Oryzias latipes: one gene and its partners. The protein of the gene in region 3 binds, or shares a complex with, the protein of the main gene of each other region. Links are inferred from orthologs where the notes say so. Each region holds a gene or a part of one and is shown on either strand. Other genes may lie near its edges. The genes, in order: MICOS complex subunit MIC26, MICOS complex subunit mic25a-like, immt and c4h19orf70.

Region 1 (6,507 bases), on a different chromosome or scaffold from region 3:
TCATGTATGAAAAGTCTCACTTCTACAAGTGTTTTTAGTAATGAACCTAATCTTTGTTAAAATCAGGTTTTTCAACACATGCAAGTAATTATAAAGTAAGCTATTTCTTTGTATGACTTTTGACTTGTATTTTTATTTGTATAATTATTCAAACTGAATAACACATAAGGTACACATCAGTACAATTAAATTTACAGGTTAACTTCACAAACACATTTAGTTTCTATTAAAAATGTTTATTAAAACACTTTTCTTTTTTGCTTGTACTGTATTTAGCAGTACAAGCTAAATACAGTACGGACAATATAAATACAGTACGGACAATATATTGTGACAGTGTACCACTGTCACAATATATTGTTCATATAAGTTATATTTAATCAATTCTGAGCTTGATGACTTCGCTTGTTTGTATTTTCTATTTATTTAAATTCTTTAATGATCAATTTGGATTCACTTTAGTAAAAAAAAAAAAGAATAATATTTTAATCTTCTAATTTAAATCAGTACTTAGACAGTACTAGATCAATCCCATGATATTTGTTATAATATGTATTTGTTTGTCACAGTGTCATTGGTGTCCTGCTAAAACACTTGGGTTGTTTAGTTAACATAATTCTTCATATTTTGGGTTGCATTTTGGAGCAATACTTTTTTTTGTAGCCTGAGTTTTTCTTATTTTCCATAATAGCCCAGAAAAAGTTAGTTAGAGTTGGGTTGTGTGCTTTTTAAAAATAGAGTTTTATGGAAACCAGTTGCCTATTGTGGGTTACCATTTTTATTTGTGCTACACATATTTGTCTTCATTATTGCATGTTGAAAAAATCCATGGAGCGCTTCATCAGCAGAGTCACCTGCAGTTCTTCCCTCTCACTGAAGAACTGTGCCCTGCTCTCCTCAGCGTGGACGGGATGAGGAAGATGGAGGCCCAGTTTGCTGACGTGAAGAAGACAGAGAAGAAAAAAAAGAGAAGGAGAGCACAGTTTGTTAAAATCACAGTTCTTTAGGAAGTAGGGATGAAAGTAATGTCATATCATAAAAAGAAATGTTTGTCCTGATCTGCAAAGTCTCATCCATAAGAGTTAAATAAAAGAATATTTCCAAGCATTTCCTACTATTTCGGTGTCCTCAGATCAAGGAACTTCTCTTTTACATCCAAGACGACATCTGTAGCTCTGGTATCTGGAAGCTGAATTTTGACCTGAAAGCAGCAGAAGTGTGTAATGTATATTTTTAAGTTTTATGTCAGTCCATTAGCAGCTCAAATGGAATTTTAGCCTCAAAAGAGGAATTAAACTTAAACTACAAAAGTTTCAAAGGAGAATTTTGACAAAACACAGAACCTGCAACATCTTTTACTAAACGTCTTCCTCCTAAATTAGTGCTCTGAAAAACTCATTTGGACGTATTTTCTTCAATGTCTTCTCCGTTGTCACACTTTTAAAAAGTGGTTTTCAGATTATGCTTTGTTCCTTTTTGGAATTCACTAAAAATGACACTCTGCGCTATTTGAAGACAATAAAAGAAAACTGAATACTGGACCAGCAGGGCTTCACAGCACATGGAGGAGGGGTCTTTCCCACTGAGGCCAAAAAACACATCTTCTGTTCCCACACTTTGCTTGAGGATCATTTCATACCTGTACACAGATATTGCATATAAAACACTCACTTTGCACATGATCTGGAGAATAAAGCTTACAATTTTCAATAATAATAAGCAATTTCCAGTGAAACAAGCTGCCTCAAAAGTATGTTTTATTAGCAGTGAGTCTCACTCAGGCTGTGGCCGCGGGTCAGCAAAGTCCATGAATCGAGAGCCTTCAGCCACCTCCTCCTCACTCCAGATATCCTTGCTGCTCTTCTTTATACTTGGCTCTGTGTCAGCAGCGTCACACGTACATTAACATTCACATTTAGCCTCAGAATGACACATTTTGAGAAGGTTTGTGATAAACAATAAAGAATATTCAATAGAGATGCCACAATTCTTTATTAAAAACTGAACAGTATGTTACGCCATAAAACCTAATCATGGGAAAAGTGAAATGTTGCATCCCTGCAGCATACCAGCTGTTATGCTACGTTTAAGAGGGATTTACTGTTTATTAAGGATGCAGTGATACACTTTCAATTCAGTTTAAATTTCAATTTTTGCGTCACGATTTTGCTTGCTTGCATGATTTGTGTATTGCAGACCAACAACAACAACAAAAGAAATTCTGAAAAACCCTTTTTTTAAATTGCTAAATGACAATAAAGAAAAACTTTTCAGATGGTTTTAGCTTAGCCTTGTGTAATGTAATATAACAATAAATACATGCAATACAACAATGAACAATAAATTCTTCATCAATTTAGCACAATACGTTTGACACTTTCAACGTAACCATATTGGTACGCAGTAGAGATGAAACGGTTCACTTGACCAATGATGCAGTTCAGCCGTGTAACACACGGATCGGTTTTGGTTTGTAATTGTGACATCCTTAGTGTTTGTTGCTTTATTGCATTACACTAGGTTCAGTATAAGCCACATAAAGGGTTTCTCTGCATTATCTGCAAATTTAAAAAAAGGGATTTTCCCAATTTTTTGTGTTTTTTGTCGTTGTTTTGTAATGCACAAATATGTATATTTTTAAAACATGAATGAGACCCAGAACTTGAATGTTGCCCTTTTACCTTCTTTAGAATTCTGTGGAGGGAGACCAATTTGTCCAGGGCCCAGCTGTGCAGATGGAGTCACTCTCTGGTGAGGTTAAAAAAAGTATTGACATACTTCCTCATTCTCTCTTTCTGCTTAAGTGTTTTTAAATCTCACTTGATCCTCTTCCTCCTCCTCTTCGTCTTCTTGCTTGGTGGATAACAGGGCAGACAGAGCCCTGAGGGTCTCCTCGGATGATAAACCCACATAATCCATTGGAAAGAAAACGTGTTATTCAAAAGATGGATGTTAAAACTAACACTAGCCTTGTTTAGGTGTAGAATGTAGTCACCAAAAAAAGGCCACAACGACCGTAATATCTGACAGACACTAAAGTTCGCAGCTGCTATGCTAACTGCACGTTTGGAACGTTGACGCTCGTCACCATGGAAACAAATGGGTTTCAGGCTGCCATGGAAACCAACAAAAAAAGAAAAGAAAAAATTTATTTCTTTAGCAAAGATGAACTGACTAAAGAACATTTTTGTAACATTATTTCTTTTTTTAGAACATTTTTAACTTAAGGCAGGAAGAGTCTAGAATATTTTTTATCCAACAATCAGATTTTTTTAATGGAATATAAAGTCGTGTTCATAAAAAAAAACAACTTCAATCACGTTATTTTTATATTCATTTAAATGAACAAATACAATTTTACAATACAAGTTTACTGTCAAAGCAAAACGAACGCAAATATCTGGGAGGCGGCGTCATGATTTGTGTCCCTTCTCGGACACCGTAGCTGATGTATGGCCCTCAGGGATCATGTTCAAGGTGACAGGTAGTGCCATGCCGGGATCCACGCGCTTGCTGCCGCTCGTTTGGGCTGCTGATGCCGCAGATGGTGGGGAGAAAGAGCCCGAGGCCCGGTTAAAGCTGGATGACCTGTCCCTGTACACCGCTCCTCAAAAGCCTCACTATGTGGAGCCAGCGGCGGGGCAGCTTGAGGAGCACGTCGCCACCCTCAGGAAGTTAGTTGAGCCCTACACGGGATGGTGTCAGGCCACCGTCGGTAAACTGAAACCCAAAGTGGAGAGTCTCGTGCAGTCCGGAAATGACTCCTACGTCTACCTGCAGAACCATCCCAAGGATTTCTACGCGCAAGCGGGGATCATCGGCTTCACGGGGCTCCTCGGATTGTTCCTCGCAAGAGGCTCCAGGGTTAAGAAGTTAATCTACCCCGCTGGTCTGATGACCGTGAGCGCCTCCTTGTACTACCCGGAGGAGGCGGTGACCATCGCAAAGTCAACCGGGGATTCGGTGTACGGATACGCGGTTCGGGGCTTCGCTGCGGCGGAGAAGCTCCTCAGCCCGCAGAGCAAAGACGGAAAAGGCAGCAAGGCAGAGACGAAACCATGACGGATGGATGGATGGATGGACGGACGGACGGACGGACGTCCCCGCGCAGCAATAACGGATCACGCGGCAGCAGCTTTTCTAGTACTGTAGATGATGGACCTGGACAGGTTCCACTCTGATGTCTGCACTATTCCTCATGCTTTACTCAGGCCAGACTTTGCCTTTAATAATTGACCTCTGCTACGGATTTGAATGTATATTTAATGATAAAGATCAATATTTTGCTTTGGATAAAAGAACTTGAAACACTTTAACGGAGTCTCACGTGCTGTCTACTGTTACTTGAATAGGACAAAAAGTACTAAATGAAGTTACTGAGGAAATACAAAGTAAATATATTTAAAGTTTTTTCATAATTATTCCTCCACTTTAAGAGTTCTGTGCATTTGACCAAATCCTCTTTATAATCTGAAATAAAGAGTTTAAACACTATTGTCACTTTGAAACCTCAAAGAGTAAATGTAAGCTGAATAAACACGCAATACCACTGTCACAAATACTCAACATGTTTTCTTAATTAGTGGTAAACTTAAATTTGAGATGTTCTTATATGTAAGATCCACCCCACCCCAAAGAAAACATCATGATGCGACTGTTTAACATTTTATTTGCTTCAGCCAAACAATAAGAAAGTTTAAATAGTTCATTTCAGGAGAGCAGCACCAGCTTCTCGTGCAGGGCAATCTGTGCCTGGGTGAGGTTGGACAGGTACGTCACCATCAACAGGTCCTGCAGCAAACCACAAGCACGTCCATGTAGAAAATACACACAACTGAATTTCACAGAAACAATTCCAGTTCCACAGTCGTACAGATGCTAGTATCTTTTAATCTTCACAATGTCAAGAAGTACAAAAGGGTAAAAAAAAACCTCATGCAAATTGTAATTACAGTATCAGGGGAAGCACTTACATTGATGTTAGAATTGAGCATGTTCTCAAAGTCCTCAGGTGGGATGGTCGGCACCTTGTTCACCAGGTCTGTGAGGAACCGGCCAACGCTGTTATCTGCTGCCACTTTCCCAGACTGGAACAGATCCAACAGGTTTTCACCAGAGATCACCCACTTCACTTTGTCATATGTGCCAACACAGGATGTCTTCTTGTTTTATTTTTTTTGTGACAGCCTTAATACTCACCAACACATCGTCAATGTATGCCAGCACCGTAGTCAGCATGTCCTGTACCCTGGCTGCAGCTCCACCCACCTGGGACAGGTCAGAGGTCAGACCCTTGGAGCGACTCGGAGCATCCCGTGTCCTTTGAAGAAGGTCCACTAAAAACAAACAAATATTCAAGTCCAGCTATAGAAATGTACATTTGCTTTTGAACAAATCTTACAAACGCAAACATACATTTCTGAAGTGCATTTGAAACGGGGACAAACATTTTTTAACCCAATAACTCAAAAGTAAGACTTTTTACCACCAGAGTATCTTCTGCTTACCGCCTATTCTCTCAGTGTCATAATAGATATATTTGACGGTGAGTGGGGTAAACATGACGCCGACGGTCTTTCCTGGCACACCCATCTGTGCGCTGTGTAAGACATACACAAACACATTTAGATTCCTCTCAACCTCAACACGACGACACAAGTTGGCAGCACAGATCCGCTTACCTGAGATAGGCCCGGATGTTCATTTTGCCACTCTGCAATGCCGTGTCCACAGTCAGGTGAATGGGGTTGGAGGCTTCACGGCTGTAATACTCATGGATGAGCACAGAATGTTCAGTGATGTCAAAGCCTGTGGCATACCTGGTGGAAAAAGGTCACCTTTTAAATGTATCTGAAAACTTTAGCTGTTGAGTATAGGTATCCGGATACAAACGGCTAACGCACCATCCGATGATGACCTCTGTGGGCGACACCCTCTTGTGAAGCTCATACATGTTTTTTGCAAATTCCATGTCAACAGCGACCTGTTGTCAATAGGACAGACAGAAGATCACTCCTTCAAAAAAGGAGGAACGTGCACATTGTATTTGAGGTGTGTTGAGAAAACAAATAGGATTGTGGCAGTAACTTTTTCACCGTTTCAAACTAGAAACGTATTCTTCTTAAAGTCGCCTCATGAAGCATAACGTTGATGACACAGCATCAGGTGAATGCAAAAGGATCAGCCGAACACATTTGTATTGCTGGTAGTCAGGAGGATAGACACATTTGTATAGTTTTCAGTTTGTTAGTTCAGGTGTTGAAGACAGACAAACTAGTTTACTGATCATTTCTGAGCAGCAGAATTATTGTACGCCATCACAGCAAAACAAGCTGCAAGTGTTAAAAAGGGCAACAAATACAAACAAATCCTGTTAAATGTTACATAAATTTATGAAGTACAGAAGTATCGATCATTCAAATAAACACAGAAGTCATCTTAAATGCAATATGATTCATCATGCTATAGGTACAAGCTTTCTCCAAGATTTTAAGAGAAAATAAAGTT
Region 2 (7,792 bases), on a different chromosome or scaffold from region 3:
TTTAAAAGGGGTTTTGGTTCTGAAATGCGTATTAAACGTTTGGATTCTTGACATTGATGCTGTCTAAAAGCGGAACAGTGACGAAGATATTCGACAGACGTTTTCCTATATAGGTAAGGAATTAAAAAAAAAAAAAAAAAAAAAGATGAACTGCTGCAGAGTCCCCCCCCCATGTTATTGTTCGCCCCACTGTCCCCCACTGTGAACGGCTCCAATATTGCTCGCCATTTTTTGTGGAACCAGTAAAGTTAGGGTGGGGGGTGGGAGGGACTGTAAGCTAGCGGGGGAGCACGTAAATGGATGGGTGATGCAAAGTGGGGGTGGGGTTGCTGCACCCCAACAGTCCCGCCCACAACTCCTGCCGCTCTGCAGAAACTATGTTCTAAAAAAAAAACAAAAAACGTTTTTACATTTTGGCTCAAAACGGTTCCTTCTACTTCTTTCTTTCGCCTGTTTCTTCCTGTTGGGACATGGGCCGCATGCGGGGGCTCTCCAGGTGGGCCGGTCTTGGGCGAGTTCTTCCAGCTGTCCCAGCGTTTTCCCCAAGCCATCGAACCCTGCTTCTGGATCCCGGCGCCACGTGTTCCTAGGTCCCCCCCCACGGTGTAATCATAATTAAAAGACCACTGGGAAGACTTTGAAAATAAATCAGAATAGAATCAGAGTGGGACTTTAAAGACTTCGTCACCTTTTTAAATGACAGGAGTTCACCTACCTAAATGTGTTCTTCAATTTGCAAGAGAATTTGTTTAAAAATGTTATGTTGATTGCTGTTAAGTCCAGTTGAGGAGGAAGGATTGTCCCCCTTTACTTTTCTTAGATGGGAATAAGTGAATGGATTTGTTTTTCATTTGGCTTCGTCTTTTCTTTTCTATAATAGCTGTTGTAGTGAGTAATGGTTTCATGGGAAATAAAAGGACCTGAACATCATCAGTGATGAAGGCCAATGAAGGACATGGACGTACGTATCTGCAGGTACAGGGACCGTCTGCTGACGGTGTTGGAGGAGGAGAGGGGGCAGCGCAGGAAAAGCACGCAGTTGGAAGTGAACGCACTGGGGGAGTCGCAGCAGCAGCTGCTGGAGATCCAGAGGAAAACTGCACAGGTGCTCAATGAGAGAGATACATGCCTCTTCATACGCAGGTAGAGCACAAAAGCCTTCCCAACTCCTTAAATGCTACTGTGTCTACACTGATTGAGCAAAAGCGCTGCAGTGTACAAGGAAACTTCTTTCATTATTGTTTTGATTTATGGACTGTGTGCTTTTGTACCTGTTTTCCAGATTTATGATGATAGAAGAACAGCTGAGGGATGCTGTCACGAGCAATTTCTCCAACAAAATCTCCCTAAGCCCTCCAGTCAACACCAAGCGCCTGCAGACCAGCCTGAAAACCCTGGACTTCCGCTCAGAAATGACCCGGCTCATCGATGCCCTTCACATCCTCCTCAACCCGCAGGAGCTCACCTTTAACGTTTGTACCGCCCACCCCAACTTAAATGTGTCCACTGACCTGTGCACAGTCAGGTTCACCTCCAACAAGCAGCCCTACATGGACCACCCGGAGCGCTTCACCAGTGCGCCGCAGGTTCTATGCAGCCAGGGCTTCTCCAGCGGTCAGCACGTCTGGGTGGTGGAAGTTGGGCCCAACTGCATGTGGGCCATGGGCGTGTGCTACAAGAGCATCCCACGCCGCGGTGACCACAGCCGTCTGGGTCACAACACCGTGTCTTGGAGACTCCAGTGGAAAAATGGCAAACTCACCGTGTGCAGCTCCTCCAGTAATGTTGTGATTCCAGAGAAAAAGCCTCATCCAACCAAACTGGAGATGGCGCTGGACTATGAGGGTGGAACCCTGACGTTCCACAGCATCAAAGGCAGCAGAGAGCACATCTACACCTTCAAAGCTGTGTTCAAAGAACCCGTTTTCCCAGCATTCAGCATTCATTCAAGCAACCCAGACTCCTGGATCACGCTTCATAATGGAATGTAGAATGACTGTTCACTATCAACTTTACAGAACATTTTGGAGATCCACAAGCCAAGGCATTCCTTTAACACGAAAGCTTTGTTCTTTTTTTTGTTTATAAAAGACACAAACTATCATTTATGGTGTATCATATGTTTTAAATTCCTAAATGTTAATTTAAATCTTGTAATGACAAAAGTATTGACTTATTGATGGGGAGGAATTACTGAGAAACAATAATTCTAAATATATTTACACTTATGAGCAAAAAACAACTAATACAATAAAACATGTTTACAGTTTTTTCTTTTTTTTACATTTCTGTTAAAACAATTAAATAGAAAGTACATAGACACTGGCTGATTCACCTTTTTTGGTAAAGAGGTCTTAGTTTTGTCTCCTATTTTCTTTTTTTTCCAAACTATAGTAAAACGTGTGCACCTGCACCAGCTGTCAATGTCATTGTGCAAAGTTAACCCGGTGAACCACCATGGAAAGAAGAATTATAGACATGTTTTGTGTTTGGGGGTTAAATAAACTTTGAACAGAATGTTTGCTGTCTGTTGGCAAACGTTTGACTCATCGTTACCATAAAGATTTATTATTTTTATTTACTTTTAAAGGTACTTTTAATTAAATTGTATAAAATGCAGCATATGGTGTAAGCGTTGCCAAATCTGATGATAACCCCCTAAATTTACTAAAGTATTTTGCAAGTATTGCAACTTTTAAATTTTTAAGAAATGTTTAAAAAAAATTGCTGCTTCACTTAAAATAAATAAATAAAAATCAATCATATGAAAAGGTTACTGCACTTACACGCAAACATCGGGTCATTTGGGGACATTTCCAAGCAAACCTGGCAACCCGCATCCCATCTGTCACACATTCTGTCATTGGACAGGGGCTTAACGGAATTCTTTGATAGTACTATCAGTATTTTCATTAAAGAGGGGGGGCTCATTCTAACAAACGGCATGGGCTTAGGGGAAAGTACGACCAGAAAAGTGTCTTATGGCGTGGATGAGGAGGACAGAGTCCGGATCCTTCGCGGAGTAAAGGTAATTATGCTACTTCTGCTAGCGTGTGATGATAAGGCTAATAGGGTGTGTGGAGCGCTGACTCCCCGCCGAAAGATGTCTCCTCCACATCTAAATGTACTCCAAGCGAAGGCAGAGCTTCGTCCAGAACCCACGAAACAAGTGGCGAAACGGTGAGGACAGACGGGGAGGAAGGGGCTGGCTCAGCAGGGATGAACCAAAGTGACCTTTTCGGTTACGCCGAACCTCGTTCGTAAACAAGCGCTTTTTAGCGTTCCTTCATTATTTTCCAACAAAACAAAAACATTTCATAAACTTTCAACACATCTCATAACTCTTTGGTGTGTTATAGTGAATTCGGCGCAAATATTATCTACATTGATGCGTAAATATTGTTTTAAATGACGCGTTTGGACTTTAGCATGTTGCTTGGGTTTTGGCTAATATCTTAATCGAATTCAGCTAATAATAGCAACAAATAAGGGACGAATAAAACATGAAAAACAAACTACACAGACTGGGCTATACTATTATTTGTTTTGTTAATAAATTACATTTGTAAGCGAGGCTCTGTGTTAATTTAACAGTTTTAATTGAACAGATTTTAAATCAAGTTTGGTTTAATAGCTGGCTTGACAGTGATGCGTTCACGACCAATACTAGGAGTAGGAATTGAGCGATCGGCCACTCAGCAAAGTGTAATAAATGACATTTATGCAGCCAAATAAAATCAACATTAGTTTTTCTACACCATAACTGTCTGTGTGTTTTATTGTTGGGGAAGTTCAGAATTATTTAAAAAGCTTTTAGCTGTACACATCCAGCCGAATGAGGGGTTGCAGTTTAGATCTTTCTTTGTGTTTTGACTGACTTTTTCTATTTCATTTTTAAAAATAAATTTTAAGGTAATTCTTACATTTAATGGCTGCATGGGGGTAAAAACCCATACCAATGTAGTTGGCCCCTTTTTAAAACGTTTTGCTATTATATAAGTCTTTTTTTTGCAGTTTACTGAAAAAAACTTTGTTTAAACAAAGAAAAAAGAAAAAGAAACGCTGGTTACACATGTAAAGTTGTGAGTCACAGAATCAGTGACTCATAGACTTGATCTGCCTCCTGTGGTTTTTCATGTAGCTATTTATTTTTTTTAGCCATTTTTCCTGGGCCATTCACAAGCAGGCGCCCAAATTAAATAGGCCTGCTGTGTTTCCTCAAACATTCATGGTATTCTGAGTTTTTATAGCTATTGCAGAGTTGAGATCTTTATGCTTATAATCTGGATATTGTGACTAAGCGAGCTCTTTTTTTTCTTTACCAGCTGTCAGAAGATGTTCTTCAGAGGATGCGAGGAGTAGCCAACATCAGTCAATCATCACTGTCCTCAGGCCCTCAAGGAGACAAAGGTATAGTTCACTTCACAATTGGTGAATTATTTTGTGTCCCACAAGAAAAGTCTTTGCTGAAAACATCCAAAGTGCCCGTCCTGATAGCTGAGATACATATAAGTTTGTGTCTCAGGTGGAGACGATCACCTGTCTGGGTTTTAACACAAGAATCTGTGTCACAGGAGGTTTTTTTTTTTTCTGTTTTTGGTCGACACAACACAAAAGTCTGGGTCTTGCTTGAGTACAATTCCCAGAAGGCTGAAGGTTCCACAGTTATCAGTTGTTGAAACAGTGTTTGGGTATAAACATCATGGGAGCACAAAGGCATCACACCTCTGAGAAACCCTCCGTCCCGGTAAGGACCACGCTCTGGTGGTCACAACCCTCCAGAGACAGTGGAGGCTGTGGGAAAAAATACAGATTTGGTCATTCTGCATGAACAAGTTGGTAGTGGGGGGTGATAAAGAAATGATCAATCTGGGGAAAAAACATGATTATCAATTGAGGAAATACATAAATTACAGCTAAAAGCCCCCCCCCCCCCCCCCCCCCCCCCCCCAATCAGGCTTTCTTGGCTTTAGACACATAGGGGTCCACAAATTTTGATTGGACTGTTCCCTGTCCCCCCCCCCCCAGGATTGGGTGGGGCTAGGGGTCCCTTGCGCCCCTGACCTTGCAGCTCTTTTTCCACGCGGGGAGGACGTCCACATCTGAGCTGGGTAGGGCAGTATCGCCCGTGGAGCGGGAAGGACCCCTTTTCTTGGGACTCCAGGGCCCCCCCAATTTTTCCATCGTTGCTCACAGCAACCGGAGCCTGGTCCTCGGGCTCACCGGGCCCTGGCCCTGTCTGGGGCCTCTGCTGGTCGCTGGTTTCTGCCGCTTCCCCCGGTTTGTCTTCGGCGGGGCTGCGCAGTGCGGGCTGGCCATGGGTGTTCCAGGCCTGCCTCGGGGGTGGGGGCGGATGGGGGCTCAGGACTCCCGGACGGTGGCGTGCCTCTGATCTGGGTGCCGGTTGTAAGTCCCGCGTGGTCGCGTTTGGGGTGGAGCGGGTCGCTGCCCTGGCGGGGGGCCCCGGCTCTGCGCGCTCTCTGTTTCTCTTACTTCTTGACGGGGGGTTGCTGGGTCTTGCCCTCTGGTTCCGTCTCTGTGGTGGCGGGCCCGCGGTCTGCCCCTAGCTCTGGGGTGTGGGTGGGCTGGAGCATTCAGTGTGATGAAGGTACACTATAAGCAGCACAGTGTGTGAATGTGTGTGTGTGAATGTGTGTGCATGGGTGAATGGGACTGTGACTGTAAAGCGCTTTGGGCCTTAGAAAGAAGGTAGAAAGCGCTTTATTAGTATACGCCATTTACCATGTTTGTTCAACCCACCTCCATATTCACTTTTGCCCAAATATGGGCATGGGTGAAGAATATTGGTCATGCAGATCTTGTGTGTAGCTGTGTGTGTGCAGAAGTTAAGTTCAGTCGATGCATCCTGTGAGATTCGTCTTCCAGGTATGAATAGACTTAAAACCTGTAAATAGCTGTTGGTGTGTGTGTCATGAAATATACTGATGACACAAAAACATGCAGAATTATGCAAAAAAAACATTCATTTTTATATGACCCCCCCTGTTTTATCAGGTTCCTCTCCTGGCTCTAGCTCTGCCTCTCAGTCCAGGCAGAAGCCAGAGTCCCGAGCGCCGTCCAGCAAACCAGCGTCCACTGCTAAAGAAGATCAGAGAAGGTGGGTAACGTCTGAAGGAAGACGAGAAGTTTTTCTGAGCTAAGTCCTGTTGTGGAATCTGAGAATCTCCATTTTGAAATCTTTGCACTGGCTCCCAGTCAGCTTTAGGATCGATTCTAAGGTTCTTTTATTAGTTTAAAAAAGTGGAACTAAACACTTAGAATGTGATTTATGTATTATTTTGTTGTTGAACCAGACATTGTGAAATCTGAATGTATCCCTTATCATCTCCCTTTGTGGTCCTCCATCCTGGTCCTCCAAACCCAGCAGGTATGGGGAACTTAAAGAAGAGTCCAGTTTTGGAATTAGGTTTTTTTTTAAGCAACCAAAACAAAACAGAAAACTTGAAGAAGACAAACAAATAAATGTATAAAAGCCATTGATTTATCAAACCTAGTAGTTTATACAGGTTTCAGTCAACTGGTTTTTAAGCCAAACCTTCTAGGCAGATGAGAAGAGATGAGCAAAACAGACTGATTTGCAACATGTATGAAGTTTTTAGATGAGTAGAAGTTCATTCTGGGTTAAGCGGTGACTCACATTTGTTTAGATCTGCATCCAGCGGCCTCTGAAAACTGGAAATGTGCTGCCCCCTTGTGGACATTTTCTTTCTTTTAAGAGTCAAACCAGGCTGAGTGAGAAAACAAATGCATCCTTCTGGGAATAAACAAACTCTTGTCTTTGCCAAACCTTTTAGGTTTGAACGGCAGCAGGCGATACTGAAGGAGGAGCTGGCCAAGATTACCCAGAGAGAAAAGGAGCTGGCAGACGAGAAGACCAAAGCCTCCATCCAGGAACGACAACACGCCCGCCAGGAGTCTGAGAAGACTAAACAACTGGTATGAAAAAAAAAGGATCTGGAGCTTTGACTGCAGAAAACACATTTTTGACAGTTTAATGTTGGTAAAAGAGATATTTTCGGTGGTTTGTTGAGCCTTTTCAAGCTCATTTTCTGAGGCTTTAGGGTCAGGACTTTCCCAGTCCACCTGTGAAAGACATTTAGTTTTCTGCTCCTTCACCACAGAAACCAGACTTTTTTTTTATTGAATGCTCATTCTGTTTACTCATTACAAAATCATAAAGCACATTTCCTTACATTAATAAGATTGTGTTCTATTCATTATGTCATACAGCTTTAGCTTTCTAACACATTAAGCTAAGGAGCCGGTTAGCTAATTGGCTGGTCTGGGGTTCAAATCTCAGTCTGTCTGTTGACAAGACAGCAATGTAAAACAATCTATGGATAAAAACCATCATCAGTTATTTGTTTATAAAGCACCTCCCACCATCAGCCAAAGAGACCTAAAGTGCTGTACACGTGGAGAATAAAATAATTAAAAGCATAAAACCAAATTAAAACATTGTAGAGACATAAATAGAAACGAATAAAAACATCTGCTGAAGTTAGCTGGATCCTATTCTAACTAGGATTAAAACTAATTAAAAATGTATCTAATGTATAATAACAATTACCGGGATGTTTACAGTTGCCCAAAAATTCCCATCCTAATAAAATAAAAAATAAAAAACACGACTATTGGACACTTCTATTCATTTGTGTAACACAGAAAGGTCAAAGTTGACCATAGACCAATGACTTGCATTTTGTGCAGCAAGAGAACCTAGTGCATTGTGGGAAAACCAACTATTTTTGACCTGGTTTTGCTGAATGAA
Region 3 (7,214 bases):
ATGAAAAGTCTATATAAATGCATGTTTTGGGCTGCCACCTTCACGCATCACTTCGCCATGTCTTAAGCCCATTTTTGGGCTCTATGTACCAAACGCCCAGCCACTCATCGCCCGTTGAAAGGTCAACCAGTTGAACTTTGAACAATCATGGACTTCATGGATGCCGACCCTTTTTAATTCACAGAAGTGCCAACTGCTGCCTGGCCAAAATATTGTCTCCAAGACTTTCAGACATCGGACGCCGTCTGCTAAAAGCGCTTTTCCTGAACGTGCCACACATGTGTTTTATTATGATGGTTTGGTCCTGGTTTATGGGATCTTGACTCAGACCCCAGAGGATTCTGAAGTGGGAGGAGCTGGTGGACCAGTCTTAGCCCCGCCCACTTCAGAAACATTCTAAAAAACAACGAGCGACTGGGGGGACAAAGTCAAGTTTTGGTCTCACCTATTGTTATGATTGTTTAAGAATTTATAATGCTTTGATTTTCAAGGATTTGTTGCATTTTATTTACCGTTCAAAACTCCATCCTCGTTTTTAAAAGTGGTTTCTTGTTGTTTTACAAGGTGAATGAAATGTTTGCTGAATTGAGAATAAAGGATTAAGCATAGAAAGTTCACCCATTAACCACTAACGGATGTAATAACCGCTATCTGCAGCCTTTTTTCTTAAACTGTGTTACCACAAGTTCTCTATTTTTTGAGGGACAGTTTCTCTGCCTTTTATTTTGAAGCAACTTGGAACAATTATCTGTGATTATGTATTTTGAAAGACTCACCTGAGGAAGACCAAAGAGGAGGCTGACGGCTGTAGTGCAGGAGGACATGAGTGTGACTTAGGGTGATGCAGGGGGGGGGGGTTAGACGGAGGATTTGCTGTGGATGATGCATGAATGATTAATTAGACTCATATTTTAATGCCACATTTTGACAATTATGCCTGTTCCTGACATTCAGCTGGAGTCCACTCGGCCTCAATCCATGCTGGAGAAACAAGCCAAGACCTCCAAGGTCCAGTCAGAGAAGAAAGTAAAGGGGGCCGCCCAAACGGGGTCCACAGAGCCCACTCCCTCCGTGTCGCCCCCTGCTGTCACCATGGAGGGTGAGTTCTGGAACCAGAACCTGCAGCTGAGCAGGTACAGACCCTCTGAGCCGTTGTTCACGAGGACCAGCCGTCAGAGGGTTTGTGAGGAATCCAAAGCGTAATAGTTGAAGGCTTTGCTGTGGGAAGGGCATCAGTTCTAAAAACCTCCACACACAGAAAGTTGTGTTAACCAGGCAGACACGTACAAAGATAAACATGTGTGCAAAGAACGAGAAATGGTGTCAAAGATCCTCCCATTAGGATTTTTCAAGGCAGAATGAGAGGCATGAAGGGGGGGTGGGGTGGAAAGTAAATATTCCACAACCTTAAAAACATAACTCACAAATACAGATATATATCACAATACTATATAAATCAGTGTTTTTCAACCAGTGTGCCGTGGGAAATTGCCCTCATTAACTGATCTAAAAACATTTCCCATCTCCAGGAAATCAGCTCTTTGTTCATCCAAACAGGCCCTGATAAAACACTGAGTAGTTAGGAATATGAAAGATCATAAAAGACTTTTCTTTGTGTTTATTTGATTCTATTAAAGACATTTTGATAAGAATGATGGTACTGCGATTTAGCCGCAGCGTCAGCTGATTTCTGAAAAAGTCCCGCCCCTTTAACTGTCTCCACCAATCATTCTTGGAGGCTTAATCAAATGTCATCAGTCTGACCAATCAGAAGTGGTTAAACTCTTCACTTCCTTGTTCTGATTCTGCTCCTAAAGTCTCTCAGTTCTAACAAAAATTCCAGCTAAAGCTCGTCTTTAGCGGTGTAGCTTTCCACAGAATCTGGTATCAGACCGTGGAACAGGTGAACAAAACAATGAAGCTCAGAGAAGTGAGTCTGTCTGACATCACTACATCACCCATAATGCATTGGGTTAGAGTGACAGCATCTCAGCGTACAATGAGTCTCTCCTCTTAACGTCTTGAAACCACAACGAACACACATCAAACAGTTTTTAAATCTTCTAACTTAACTTTTATTACATCTTTTAGAAAAAACAGCTGCAGCTTCCAGCTTTTCTGCCACAATCATCACAAAAATGCACGTGTGATTGTGGAGGTGCTGTAGATCAATACAGACTATGAGTTTCTCTTTTTTTGTCATTTTTGGATGCTGGTGTGCTGCAGGATTTTGTCATGGTTAAAGTGTGCCGTGGCTCAAAAAAGGTTGAAAAACAAGGATTTAGAGGACAGAGAAGATCCTAGCCTGTCCTTTCACACACACCATGTTCCACTGAAGGACAGATCCTGAGCTCAGGATGAGTTTGTGTCAGACCTTTAGGTCCTTCTCCACGACCGGTCCACTCCACCTTCATCTTCTCCTTGTCTGTTCCTCCAGGAGCTTCAGCCGAGGCCACCCAGATCATCTCTGCCAGCAGCGACGTCCCTTCAGTCCCGGCGCCGTTTGACACCCAACCCACAGCGGTCACAGGTAAATCACCCAGCAGGAACATGTGTAGAGTAATCAGATTACTGCAGGGCTAGGGGAGTTGTTACTCGTTGATGGTTACCATTAGCAGGGTCACTGTTAGCAGTAAATAGTTGTGGAGGGGGGGCTGACTGCTGCTGTTATCAGTGGTCCACGTGCACGCTCTTCAGCGTGCGCTCTCTTTTTCAGAGCACTGCGACGAGTGTCACCACGTTGGCTCAGAGGCGGCCCACAGCGGCGCCGATTCGCCCGCCGGGTCCACAGAACAGCTGGTGGAGCGTCCGGCCGAGGAGGTGTCGGCCCGTCTGGCCCAACAGGACCAGGATGAGCAGAACGTTTTAGCAGGTTTGACGCGAGAACCTGATTTCTCTGAGGCAGAACCTCAACTGTCTCCTCAGTGTGGGAGGGGTCTTCAGCAGACGCCCGACTTGTGACAGTTTCCAACAGAACCGTGAGGCTCATGCCGGTTGTCTGATGTTTGCCGTTCTCCAGCGGTGTCCAGCAGTCTGGAGGAATCTCTGGCCTGTTCAGCCAGAGCAGCGCTGCAGGCCATCGGAGCCCAGGAGGCGGCGCTGCAGGCCATCAACCAGCACACGCAGAAGCTGAAGGAGGCCATGGAAGCAGAGGTACTGCCATGGCCTCAGCGGCCTGGGGCCTGTGGTCAGTGTCATGGAAGACCACCCAAAAAAAAAAAAGGAGTCCATCGTTACTTGGATAATGGATTCCTGATTCATTTGGGAGATTTCTTGTTTTTTTTTTTGTGAGTTTTTAAATAAGGAAATGAATCATTTTGTTAATGGAAGCTCAGGTTTGTTTATAATAATAAATTAAAAGGATTCTAGAGAGTAATTTAAAATGAAAGCAACTAAATATTTTAGCAGAGACTATTATTTTGCTTTTTAACAGCAAAATTACACACAAAAATGCTCCATAAACATTTCCAATCAAGCTTCCAGCAGCAACATAAAAAAAGAGTAGACAAAAGCTTCTTAGTATAAACTCTGGATTTTAAATTTGTCACGGCTTTTCCAAAGATGACAGAAAATGTCTGTCATCTTTTTTTTATGGAGGGCTGAGAGGAAATTAGCATTTCAAAAATAAAACCTGTCATGATGAGGTTTGATTTTATTCAGATTGAATTACGGTATAGAGGTTTGAAAACGAATGTGGATTATTGATTAACAGAAGGTGCAACAGCAGTGGAACATTCTGGAATGTGATTGGCTCGTTAGAGGGAGGAGTTCAGTGACCTGACACTCTGTTCCCAGCAGAGTCCTCCCGAGGAGAAGTCCGTCCAGTGGAAGGATCTAGAAGCTGCTCTGATGGACCGGACCTCTGCTGTGACGGACGCGACAGCTGCCCTTCAGAAAGCCAAGCAAGTTACCCCCACCCCGAAAACATGTCACCCTGTTGACCTCAGGTCACCTCTGCTGTCTGCTGGTTCCTGAGCTCTTTAGCAGCACTCCTCTGCCGTTCTGGGCCTCAGAACAGCAGAACATCTCCAGCTGTCGGACTGTTTTTACATTCCCCTCGTTTCCTAGCGTGCACTCAGGCGTGTGCACGTGTCCTTCCGCCGCTCACAGAGCGCCGCCGTCCCCTGAAGCTGTGTTTTCGTCCCTGCAGGGAAGCTCTGGATGGTCTGAGGGCCACCATCAACGGCTCCAAAGACCTGAAGGTGGCCGCCGTCCGCCCGCTGGTCCTGGCAGCTGAAGAGAACCTGCATAAGATGGTGGTGGACCTGGACAGAGTCGTGGCTCAGGTTAGCAGCTGCTCTGCTCTCTCTGCCTCTAACCCGGTCTCAGGCTAGAGGACACATTATTACTCAAGGAGGCAGGTAATCAGTATTTGGAGGCGATATTTATTTGCAGTAAAGGTGACAATATTTTACAATTTAGAAGAATACAAACACAAACAATTAGTTTATTTCAAAAAACAAGTACCGGTAAATAAACAACCAAAGACATAGCTCCTCCTAGAAGTGCAGGGAGCAACAGGCTCAGCAGCAATTTTTTAGTTTTGTTTTAAGTGAAATAAAGATTTCCCTGAAAGTTTTTAATAGTAATAAAGTCAAACTTCAGCATAAATTGGAGGATTTATAATTTATGTTAAGTTGAAACAAAAAGTGCACAGTGGCAAATAGGGATGGGTATCGTTAAGGTTGTAACGGTACTACTACTCTTATCGATACTGCTTATCGATCCGGTATTTTAACTACATTCTTATCGATACTTTATGAGGAAGAAAAATAAATAAATATACAAATAACAAATTAAGAACAAAGTGTTTTATTTCCTCATTTTGCAACGACATTGTTTTTTTAACAAAACATTTTACTTTATACATGAGAAAGTTCCAGACAGGATATGTATTTAAGTATTTTTATTCTTTATGAGCGTGATGTTTCCTTTGATCTTTTGTCCATTTTCGACAACCTTGAATGGACTTCTGTCTGTCAAACACCCAGAGTTAAATTAAGTTAAGTGAGATGATGGAAACAAATTCACTTTGATACGGACTCCTTTCTGTTTCTTTATTTTTTTTTAAATCCAGTAAACCCAATAAATTATATAAATTGTATGGAGGAAGAATATCATTAGTTGTTACTTATTATTAAGTTTTAGGAAGCAGCTGTTAGTTTGTTGCGGGTCTGGAACCATAAGCGGTGAGTCTAAGCCCCGCCTTAGACTGATCCGCAGTTAAATCATCAGTAGACCCAATTCACAGCGAATAGAATAGAAGACTTTGTTAATCCCACGATGGGGAAATTCCTTTTGTCAGCGGCAGCACAGAAAAAATCAAACAAAAATAGTTGGACTAGTTAAGCAATCAAACGCCGTCTCTTGGGCCGTGAATGGCAGAGAGCTGCTGAAGGCGGCCTGTTGGGGGCGGGGGCTTTATGTCTGGTGTTTCGCTGAGGAGAGGAGGGAGACGTTTGAACGCCGGCATCAGATTGTCTCAATGCAATGATCTGTGTTTTTTGTATTTCTCCCCGTCAAATAAATATGAACAATAACATTTATGGTAGCGAGTTAAAAGCGACTTTGCTAGTTACCAGTAGAGGGACATGCAGAGGACCGAGATGCCCACTACTATTTGGAGAGAGTTTTCTGTACGTTCAGCACATCCGTACACCCTCCAGAGCGTCTCCACAGCACAAGGCTTTTCTCTCTGAGTTTGAGTTTGACAGTGGTGGAGACAGAGAGCCGGAGGTGCGTCTGAGCCACAATGACCAGCTCCACATCAGTCCATCCAGTTAAAAAAAAAGGGCTTAATGCCAACATGTCAAAATCCTAATTATTAGGTCGCACAATAAATCGCAAATGTATCGTTATTGCGATATCAATCTTTGCAATACGCAATAAATGGTTACCTTAAACGTGCTAAAACAATCTTATGGCAGCTTGAAGTATTCAACGGATCAAATAAATCCCTTTATGCATTTGACCAATCAGATGGACGCTTTTTAAGTTAGATACCCGCCTCCCATGTAGACTAGTTTCATTTGGAGTATAATTGAAGTCATGTTGACTCATATTTAAGTTAGTAGTTAAATGGAACAAATCGCACGTTTTCCTCATAGAGTTTGAAGAGCCATGGTATGTCAAAGAGCGCCTTACTTTTGGGTGTAAGTTGGATGCAGATTTCTCCTCATGGTTCACAAATCCAGCAGATCTTCAGGCAGAGTCAGGCCCAAACGGGGGGAACGCCCTGCTTTCAGCTGCTCACAGATGTTGGGAGGTGTTGATCCCAGAAGCAGTGGTCATTCTTCAGCCTCACTTAAGAAGCCGTCTCCAGGACAATGATGGTGATAGAAAGGATCTGTATGCAGGTGCAGTCGGCTGAGGTGGAGTCCAAGATCGTGTCCCAGTACAGTGACCTGGTCCAGGAAGCCAAGCAGCAGTTCCAGAAGGAGGTCAGCAGCCTGACTCCAGAGATCCAAGCCAACTGGAAAGGCCTCAGTGAGTCAGACTCACCTTCATCCTCTAACTTGGACATCTTAGTACCACAAAAACCCGGCAGACTAAACCAGCTGAATGGTTGTAGAATAAGGAACTGAACCATTTTGTGTGTTTTTGTTAGCGGGGAAGCTGTCCACGGACGACCTGAACGCCCTGATTGCCCACGCTCACCGCCGGATCGACCAGCTGAACCGAGAGCTGGCAGAGCAGAGAGTCCGGGAGCAGGTCCACATCGATGCGGCTCTGCAGCAGCAGAAGCTGGAGGACCAGAGAGTGCTGGAGAGGGCCGTCAGCTCCTCACTGCAGCACGTGAAGGAGGAGGCCCGGCTGGAGCAAGAAAGAAAGGTTTGAAGCTGCGGCGCCTGATGCTGAGCCTCCGCCACGCCACACACACACGAGCGCCTACATCCAGACCCGTGCTGCAGTTAGGTTTAGAAGATCCTTTCATCAGTTTGGTCATTTTAAAAAAAACAAGAGGTGCCTCCTGCTTTTTGAGATCAAAGACTTCAAGGGCGAGCATGAAGAAGAAGATCTGGCTGCAGAAAACCTCCTTAGTTCTTGTTGTCACACCCAAACCACTGTGGTGGAAGAAAAGTGCTGTTAGAAAACAATTAAGATCCATCATGAACTAACATCAGGACAACATGGATCCGGTTTATAAGATCAACAAAGGTCATCCATCAGAAGCAAATAGAAAAAGTATCAGTAAATACTCCTTTATCAGCGTT
Region 4 (7,868 bases), on a different chromosome or scaffold from region 3:
AATGTCTCCACAGTAAATAACAAAGTCAAGATGCCCCTAGGGGCAGAAGAGCTGGTGGGCAAAGCTGTGGAGCATCTGTTCGAGAAGGAGGATGGAGAAAAAAACGAGTGGAGAGGCATGGTGCTCTCCAGAGCTCCAGTCATGACCAACTGGTACTATATAACGTACGAGAAGGACCCTGTTCTGTACATGTATCAGCTATGGGACGACTACGCTGAAGGGGACCTGAGGATCCTACCTGAAGCAGGTACGTCGCAGAACCGGAAGAACCTGTTCTGAAAGTTCTGATCCAATCCTTCTATGAACTGTGAAGAAATCAGTCTGCTTGGGTTTTTGTTTTAGAATCTCAGCAGACAAAGCAGATGAATTTAGTTGTCATGTTACAGATGGGTTGTTGTCAGAAACAAACAAAAAAAAGAATAAAAGTTAAGAAATGTTGACTCCAAAAAATCCAGAAAAAAAAGGCTGGGAGGGGCTTCAAATAGTTCGTTGTTTTTTTAAAATAAGGTTATTTTCTGATTTTGACTGTATCTAGATCTTATAAGTAAGGGTTGTAACGGTACACGTAGTTGTATCGAACGTTTCGGTACGCCAATTTTGGTTCGGTTCACTTTTGTACCGTTTTGGTACTTTTTTTTCCCCCCCAAATGTCTTCACTCTGCACCGAGGCAGAACTACTGTTAACCGTGAGTTTCCGCCAAGACGCCATTCGGTAACGGAGGTGACAGTAAGCATGTCAACATATGGCTAATGCAGACGTGAGGCCAGAGATTGAGGACCCCCCCCCATCTCCTTACGCTCTCCTGTGTGGGAAGGCTTCAACTTTGTTGTCAGCATGAAGGGGAAAGACGATTGGAAAAGTCGAATGCTGTGTGTCGACATTATTATACAGACATAGCGTATGCCACAGTAACATGTAATCTACTAACGCACCTAAAACTGCATCACCTGACTGTAACAGTCGGGTGTACAAGAAAAAAAAAGTGCAAGTTAAAATGTTTGTTTTTTCCAGGCCAGTGTTAATTATCCAAAGTTTTTGTTTCCTGACAGCTAATAGTTGTATTATTTTATATAGCAGATAACCTACATAGGTCCATTTTATATATTTTTATGTAAAACCAATAAATGCACTTTGCAAGTCATTTTGTTCTGCCTTTTTTGTACCAAAAAACCACTGAAAATGTACCGAATCGAATTGAGATTTTAGTGTACTGTTACAGCCCTAATGATCACTAACGGTTACAAATGAATCACGTAATTACAGAACCTTCCAAAAATTAGAATATCTTTGAAGTGAAGTATTTATTTCCACAAGTCCTTTCAAAAATAGACTTTCATAGAATAGATTCCGAAACGTTTCCACACAGACAGAATTGCATCACTTCCTGTTTTCCAGTGCGATTCAAAACAGGTCTGTCAACTCCTTGACGATCTCCCTGCATTTCATCCTCACAAAAGGGAAACAAACGGATGTTTGGTGCCACAAAACCGTTTGAGGAGCGTTTTTCTCACCGTCTTTGTCATTTCTCAGAAAACAAGCACCTGCTGCCTGCAGACAGAAAACCAGGGGAGGAGACGGAGAGTCTGGTGGGGAAGCAGGTGGAGTACGTCACCGACAAAGGGGTGAAGAGGACGGGCTTGGTCATTTATCAGGTGCCAGCCAAGCCCTCCGTGTACTACATCAAATATGACGATGACTTTCACATTCATGTTTATGACCTGGTCAAAACCAACTGAACGTGATGGACACTTTTATCGCACCTTGTTTGCTTTTTGTCGTCCCATCCGTCTTTCTGTTTAAGAAGAGATGCTCAGCTGTGTTGGCAGCACAGTTCGCCGTTTTCAGTTGGAGTTGGGTTCTTTTTATTTCTTTTCACGAGTCGTTAATTGAATCAAATCTGCACTTTGTGGCTTTTGAAAAGACACGAACTCCGAATAAAGGCCTTGACCCCTCCCCAGAGAGCAGCCCCCTAGAATGGCATTGATAGATGGTAATTGTCGTCAGATGCATGTTTTCCAACCCGTTGCTCCATATTTAGTTGCGACATTCCCAGCTGCGTTTAGCGATGTCTGCTTTGCTGAGCTTCTCGCCAACACTCCCGTGTCGGAGGTATCACGGACTAGAAACCCGTCTGGATGAAGACAGCAGCCTTGCGTTTGAATGTGAACACCCCCACATCATCAAAGTGCCTTCTGGCCTGTTGGAATCAGTTCGTTGCCCCTGACAGCCGCTCTTTAGTCCCCCTCCCTCAACAGCGACACTGACCCCGTCAGGAAAGCTGTGCAGCCGTTGGTTTGATGGGAAATGCATCCTTATCCATTGTATTCTCTCACTGTTGTGTTGTGAGGAGCACTTTATTGTGTAACGTTTACATATTCAGATTCAAGTAAAGGAGGAACTCGTTTCCTAGAATATACTTTTTTTGTTTTAAAAAACTGCAAAATGCTTTAAATGAAGAGGAGATAGTTCTGCTGGTGTGTACATTCTCTGTATGATCATAACAACATCTGTAGTAAACATGTGGACTTCCAGCTAACAGACTATTGTAACCGCCACAGGAATTCTCGTCTTGTACTCTTATATTTGCTTGCAGAAGTGATTTCATCAAACTTAATGTGATGAAACCGCAGTTCTTTAGCTCTTCGGTTCTGGATTTCTCCGTTAAAGTTGCATGAAACAGTGAAACCGTGCCTGAAGTTAGGAAACTTTATTTCTACATGTGGAAATAACGAGATTTAAAACAGACACTAAACATCAGAGCTGGGGAGCCCTGGAGGTTCGGATGCTCAACTGACGCTTTGGTTTCCTGTGTTTCGTGTCAATGTTATGGAACAAATAAAGTTTTTGTGCATATGATTGGTGTTTTTTTTATAGACATTGTCATGACCAGAACTTGAACATGAGACACTAAAGAAGGCATGAAAAGGTCAACTAGAATATTTACAACTTTTGGACATTTAGACTGAGAAAAAACCTTGCTTGGTGGGTAAAATGAGTTGGTTTACAGCAAAGAAGAGGTTCTTTAAATACTTCATTTCCTTACAATAAGCTCAGTCTTCATTACATGCCTCTTCATAAACAACTGCTTTTCTAGGGCTGATTTAGGAGTAGTAATGTGTTACCATAACCTTCCACTTGGGGAGGAACGAGGCTGAACCTCTCCAAAGTGAGCTGTTGAGTGCAAAAGTAAAACTGATACCGGGGGGGTTCACTTGAGGAGGTCTTTCACAAACTGAAACCCCTGAGTCGTCATTTCACTCGCTTTTGTTGGAGCTTCAGAAAGTCTGGAAATCGTCCACCGCACTCCTGCAATTAAAAAGAAACGGTTTTCAGGTCTCACAAGACAAATTTAAGGAAAACTGAAGGCGAAAGCTGATTGAAGACGTGCACACAAACCCAGGTGGCTGCAGATCCTTAAAAAGTCTCATGTTTTGTTGAACTACAATAAAGTCTTGTAAAGCATTAAATTGTCTTAAGGTCCCACTCGGATCATCTGTTGATCTCTTTTCAAAGCGTTCCCAGTGTTCTTATTGCCATTTTTAGTCTAAAAACCTGTCATTTTCCAGGACAGTTTCTGCAGGAGCTCATTTGAAATTCCCCTTTGAGTTGTGGGCGGGACTTTTGGTAAGCCTTCCCCCACTTCCCATCATCAGTCTCTTCAGCTAAATTCTTACGAACAGGTTTTAAATTTCTCATCGACTGATGTGACCTGTCACCCAAAAAAAAAAGAACATTTCTGGGATGCGCTGTGTCATAAGGTTATTAACTGGTGGTAAATCGTTTCACCTCTGCTAGCTTATTAGCTCGTGCTCAGCAGTGTGTGTCTTGGAAATAGGGATTAGTCGTAGTGGTTAAACTTATAAGTGGAAATCTTTATGAAGCAAACTCTGCGGTTTGCTGAAAGACATTTAAACTTTACATAGCAAGGATCATAGCAATGGAATCACGTGTAGAGCAAGAAACCACAGACTCCCAACTCTCTGTTTCTATTTTTGTGCATATAGGGTCTTAAATTTTAAAATCCTTAAATTTCACTTGAGCAAATCTGTAGACCCCCTGCAAACACAGAGGCACAAACTCAGCAGTGAAATGACAAACTGTTTCTCTTATAGAGGAAAACCCAAAAATGTCCGTCAGCTCTTACCAGAGTTCCACGCCTGGACCGGAGAAAATTCAACGTTAGGGATGGTTGGAAGCTGAGTCTGCTGACAGAGAAATAAAAAGAGGAGGTTGTGTATTAGTTAATGGGACCAGTGAAACTTAAGGGATGCATTAATGTGCAGATCTATAACGGTCCTCTTTAACCCCAGGAGAAGTCACCAAAGACCAAACAAACCCAAAGACCTCTCACTCAAACCTAGTTTGTTTGTACCTGAAGACCGAAGTACTTCATCCACTCCTCAATGGCGGGGGGGACAGCGGCTCTGGCCTTCTGTAGGGCCTCAGAACCTTGTTCGCTGCCCCCCAGCAGCCCGGAGTCATAGGCCACATACACAGCCCCTCCCGCTATGCCCACCTTGGTCGCGAGTCTGCAGGTAATCAGAGTCCATCATGAAACGCAGGTCATCAAAGATCGTTGAGACAGAGATGATAACACAAGTAAACATTTTAAAACGTTGGTTTGACAGAGAAACTAAAGGACTTTAGAAACTTCTCAAGACGCGCTGAGTACAAATGAGTAAATTATAAATGAGTAAATTAACATTCAGTTTTGTGGATACAGATACAGAACACATAGTTTATATTAGAGTTAGCTAAACAGGCAAAGAACATTTGTTAGCTTTGCTAGCTAGTTTGATTAGCTAGCTAGTCGGCTAATCCCGCATTTAGCATCACTTCTCCGAACATTTGTAAAGTAAAAATGAACTAACTTCACTACAGGCAAAAGCTTTGTCGCCATGATCCACGGGTAACCGAACTATCCCGAAGCCACGACTGTGACCTGAAAGAAGTCAAACCTAGCAGCTGCACTGAAGGACAAGCCGGATTCTTGTCCTGTCAACCACAGCTGTGTTAATAAAGTTGGATCTTGGAAACTTAGTTCCGCTGCAGAGCAACACATTCGTTCTGCCTCACTTTCTAATGCTTTATTTTATTTAACTTTTTAAATCACAGGTAAATACTTTTTAAATAAAAATGTTTAAAAATTATATCTAAAAATGAAAAATGATTTTTCAAAGGGGTGTGTCTAATGTGAAGTTCACGCCCAAATCGCAAGAAAAACAGTGAAATGGGGCGTTTAACAGATGTACTTTTTTCCATGGGACCTCCCTGAACTTGTCTGAGAGCAGTGTTGCCAAATGCAGCCGTTGTATAACCACAGATCAGCACAATTCCACAAAACCCAGCAGTCAGACCAGTTGCTGCTTTTTCCAAAATGGCTTTTACTAAAGTCTTGATAGTCAGTTTATGTGTAGTTTTTTTAGCTGTCAAGTGGACTTCACCCACTTTTGATCCAGGTGAGCAGAAATCTGTTTCATTTTTTAGTCAGTCTTATTATTTAAGGGTTTGAGGCTCAGGGTGGATGTTAGTGGACCTTCTGGGGCGTGCATGTGTTCCTAAAACCGCATTTTGCAGAAATGATCAGTCATTTTTCGCAGTTGGGTTTCTTTGTATGCTTATTTTAATTAATTTTTAATACTCATTGAATGTTTCCTGTTGCTATCATTAATTTGGAGTTATCTACCATTCACAGATTTGTGTGCCATGGCAACATAACGAGGATCATAAAGATAACATTACCTTTGCTTATTGGCGAATGGGGCCACAGGTTCATGTCTTTACTTGCATATTGAGCTGACTATTCCGGTTTTTTCCCCTTTGCTCTAAATAGTCAGCTCAAACATATATAAATAGGATGAAATTGTGAACATTTCTGCACTGAATTAATTTACCTATGCACAATAATGTTGCTGAGGGTTTACTATTCCCTCTGGGAAAAGTGGGAGTGGAAACCAGGTAAACGGTTAGAATCTGCTTCAGTGGCTGAGAGGCCTGACCTCAGCGAGCGCAGCTTTCATGCAGAAAAGCTGATCAGTCAGTTTTCATGCTATCCTCTGGTAATATCACCATCCTTAACAACTGTAACAAACTCCAGCAGCGCTCAATCAGAGCTCAGGGTCACAGGTTGAAACGTGTTCTGATACTATAGGAGGTTCTGTGAGCCGCTATCTCTTCATGGGGCAATTATAAACGCCGCATGACTGCGGTTGGATCTTTGTACACTTCTGTGTTATCACACATATAAGGACCAGTTGTTATCAGTCAGTTCAGGGTAACATAAATGTTTTTTTAGATCATCATCATCATTTGTTTATAAAGAACCTTCCACCACTAGCCAAGGAGACCCAAAGTGCTGTACACATGGAGAACAAAACAAAAAACAATTAAAAGCACAAAACCAAATTAAATCCCTGTAGGGACATAAATAGAAAAGAATAAAAAGCATAAAACCAATTTAAGAGAGATTAAAACCAGGGTTAGGCTGATGCTAAAGCGCTGAAATGGAGAAAAGTTCTTTTTTTAAAGTCATCTATAGCGTGACCTCTCTAATTGCCGGTGGCAACTGATTCCATAGTTTAGGATCCAACACAGAAAACCCACCGTCCCCCCGAAAGTTACTTTTGGTTCTGGGAACCATTAACACAAACTGGTGAGGGGAACGTAAGGACTTTGGAGGGGAATATTTTAAAAGAAGACTGGAGAGGTAAGAAGGAGCCATACCTGCAAGAGACCAACATTTTAATGAAAAGCAAGTATTTCACTGGCAGCCAGTTCGAAGAGGCCAAGATCGGTGTTATGTGGTCAAACTACTTTGCCCCACAAATAAATTTGGCTGCTGCATTTTGAACCAGCTGCAGGCTATTAATGCCTTGGCTAAGGCAGAATATAAAGAACTGCAATAATTTAGACTAGACCAAACCAAAGCATGGGTGACCATTTCAAGGTTAGTTTTTGATAAGAAGACTTAATCCTAGCCAGACGTCACATCTGAATAAAGCAGGACCTGATCACAACCTTTATTTGGAGGTGAAGCTTCAGAGCTGCATCAAGTTTCACACTCAGGTTTGTGACCACAGACTGTTCAAAAGGGGCAAGAGAAAGGAAACCAACACCATGATCTTTTCCCCCACTAGGGGTAAACACAATTACATATTTTGCTTTCATTTAGGCCACGACCTATCTTCAGCAAGGCAGTCAATTATTAAGTTAATTGTGCGGTCAGGTCCCTTACATACAGGGACATAAACTTGACAGTCGTAAACATAAAGGTGAAAGTTCCCCTCTTGCTACCGGAACAGCATTCCCAGTGGCAGCAAGTAAATAGAAAATAACAACGGGCCAAAAACCGACCCTTGAGGGACCCCCCATTTCAGGGGGTCACACTTGGATGAGTGAGGACCCATTCTAATGCAGAAAGACCTAAGGTAAGGTAAGACCACATCCACTGTAGGGCTTCCCAGGAAAGCCCCGCCCACTGTTCCAACCGGCCAATTAGGATCTCATGATCAACTGTGTCAAAAGCTTCAGATAGATCCAATGATAAATGAACAACCAGTTCATCTGCCATCAGAACATCATTAAAAAGGTTTTAAAGAGCCAGACCTGAGCCCTGACTGTACAGGTTCCTGGATTTCATGTGCGTTTAAGAAAGTGACCAACTGTTTAAAGAGAATGTTGTCAAGGACTTGAGCACAAAAATGTGGGTTGGATTTGGCCTATGGTTTGAAAAAAAAGGAGAATCGAGCATTTGTTTTTTCAACAGTGGTCTCACTACTACCTGGTTAAAATTGAATGAATCCTGAGAGGACGTCAGCAGATGAGATAATATCAGCATAAAATTGTCTTCTAGCTTTTGTGACAGCTT

What was found.
Region 1: immt (region 3) and MICOS complex subunit MIC26 share a complex: the UniProt entries of both Homo sapiens proteins name them as parts of the mitochondrial contact site and cristae organizing system (MICOS) complex. The link is inferred for Oryzias latipes from reciprocal best matches to the Homo sapiens genes IMMT and APOO.
Region 2: immt (region 3) and MICOS complex subunit mic25a-like share a complex: the UniProt entries of both Homo sapiens proteins name them as parts of the mitochondrial contact site and cristae organizing system (MICOS) complex. The link is inferred for Oryzias latipes from reciprocal best matches to the Homo sapiens genes IMMT and CHCHD6.
Region 4: immt (region 3) and c4h19orf70 share a complex: the UniProt entries of both Homo sapiens proteins name them as parts of the mitochondrial contact site and cristae organizing system (MICOS) complex. The link is inferred for Oryzias latipes from reciprocal best matches to the Homo sapiens genes IMMT and MICOS13.

Annotation. Positions count from the first base shown.
Region 1 is NC_019875.2:2,471,766-2,478,272, reverse strand, and holds MICOS complex subunit MIC26, read left to right. Parts: upstream 1-3,444; 5' UTR 3,445-3,468; coding exon 3,469-4,062; 3' UTR 4,063-4,552; downstream 4,553-6,507. Other genes in the region: protein PIH1D3, read right to left, coding at 807-936, 1,116-1,201, 1,543-1,639, 1,778-1,877, 2,682-2,748, 2,821-2,919; eif3f (eukaryotic translation initiation factor 3 subunit F), read right to left, coding at 4,711-4,791, 4,974-5,087, 5,200-5,336, 5,508-5,599, 5,682-5,819, 5,904-5,983. UniProt on the Homo sapiens protein: Component of the MICOS complex, a large protein complex of the mitochondrial inner membrane that plays crucial roles in the maintenance of crista junctions, inner membrane architecture, and formation of contact sites to the outer membrane.
Region 2 is NC_019865.2:2,284,302-2,292,093, forward strand, and holds the start of MICOS complex subunit mic25a-like, read left to right. Parts: upstream 1-2,831; 5' UTR 2,832-2,944; coding exon 2,945-3,028; intron 3,029-4,325; coding exon 4,326-4,410; intron 4,411-6,015; coding exon 6,016-6,118; intron 6,119-6,815; coding exon 6,816-6,957; intron 6,958-7,792. Other genes in the region: E3 ubiquitin/ISG15 ligase TRIM25, read left to right, coding at 976-1,143, 1,283-1,991. UniProt on the Homo sapiens protein: Component of the MICOS complex, a large protein complex of the mitochondrial inner membrane that plays crucial roles in the maintenance of crista junctions, inner membrane architecture, and formation of contact sites to the outer membrane.
Region 3 is NC_019868.2:4,708,841-4,716,054, forward strand, and holds part of immt (MICOS complex subunit MIC60), read left to right. Parts: intron 1-954; coding exon 955-1,099; intron 1,100-2,437; coding exon 2,438-2,530; intron 2,531-2,716; coding exon 2,717-2,872; intron 2,873-3,019; coding exon 3,020-3,153; intron 3,154-3,795; coding exon 3,796-3,902; intron 3,903-4,150; coding exon 4,151-4,286; intron 4,287-6,356; coding exon 6,357-6,486; intron 6,487-6,607; coding exon 6,608-6,831; intron 6,832-7,214. UniProt on the Homo sapiens protein: Component of the MICOS complex, a large protein complex of the mitochondrial inner membrane that plays crucial roles in the maintenance of crista junctions, inner membrane architecture, and formation of contact sites to the outer membrane.
Region 4 is NC_019862.2:7,382,314-7,390,181, forward strand, and holds c4h19orf70 (MICOS complex subunit MIC13), read right to left. Parts: upstream 5,025-7,868; 5' UTR 4,902-5,024; coding exon 4,873-4,901; intron 4,531-4,872; coding exon 4,374-4,530; intron 4,207-4,373; coding exon 4,146-4,206; intron 3,308-4,145; coding exon 3,210-3,307; 3' UTR 2,694-3,209; downstream 1-2,693. Other genes in the region: spinb (spindlin protein B), read left to right, coding at 14-247, 1,532-1,737. UniProt on the Homo sapiens protein: Component of the MICOS complex, a large protein complex of the mitochondrial inner membrane that plays crucial roles in the maintenance of crista junctions, inner membrane architecture, and formation of contact sites to the outer membrane.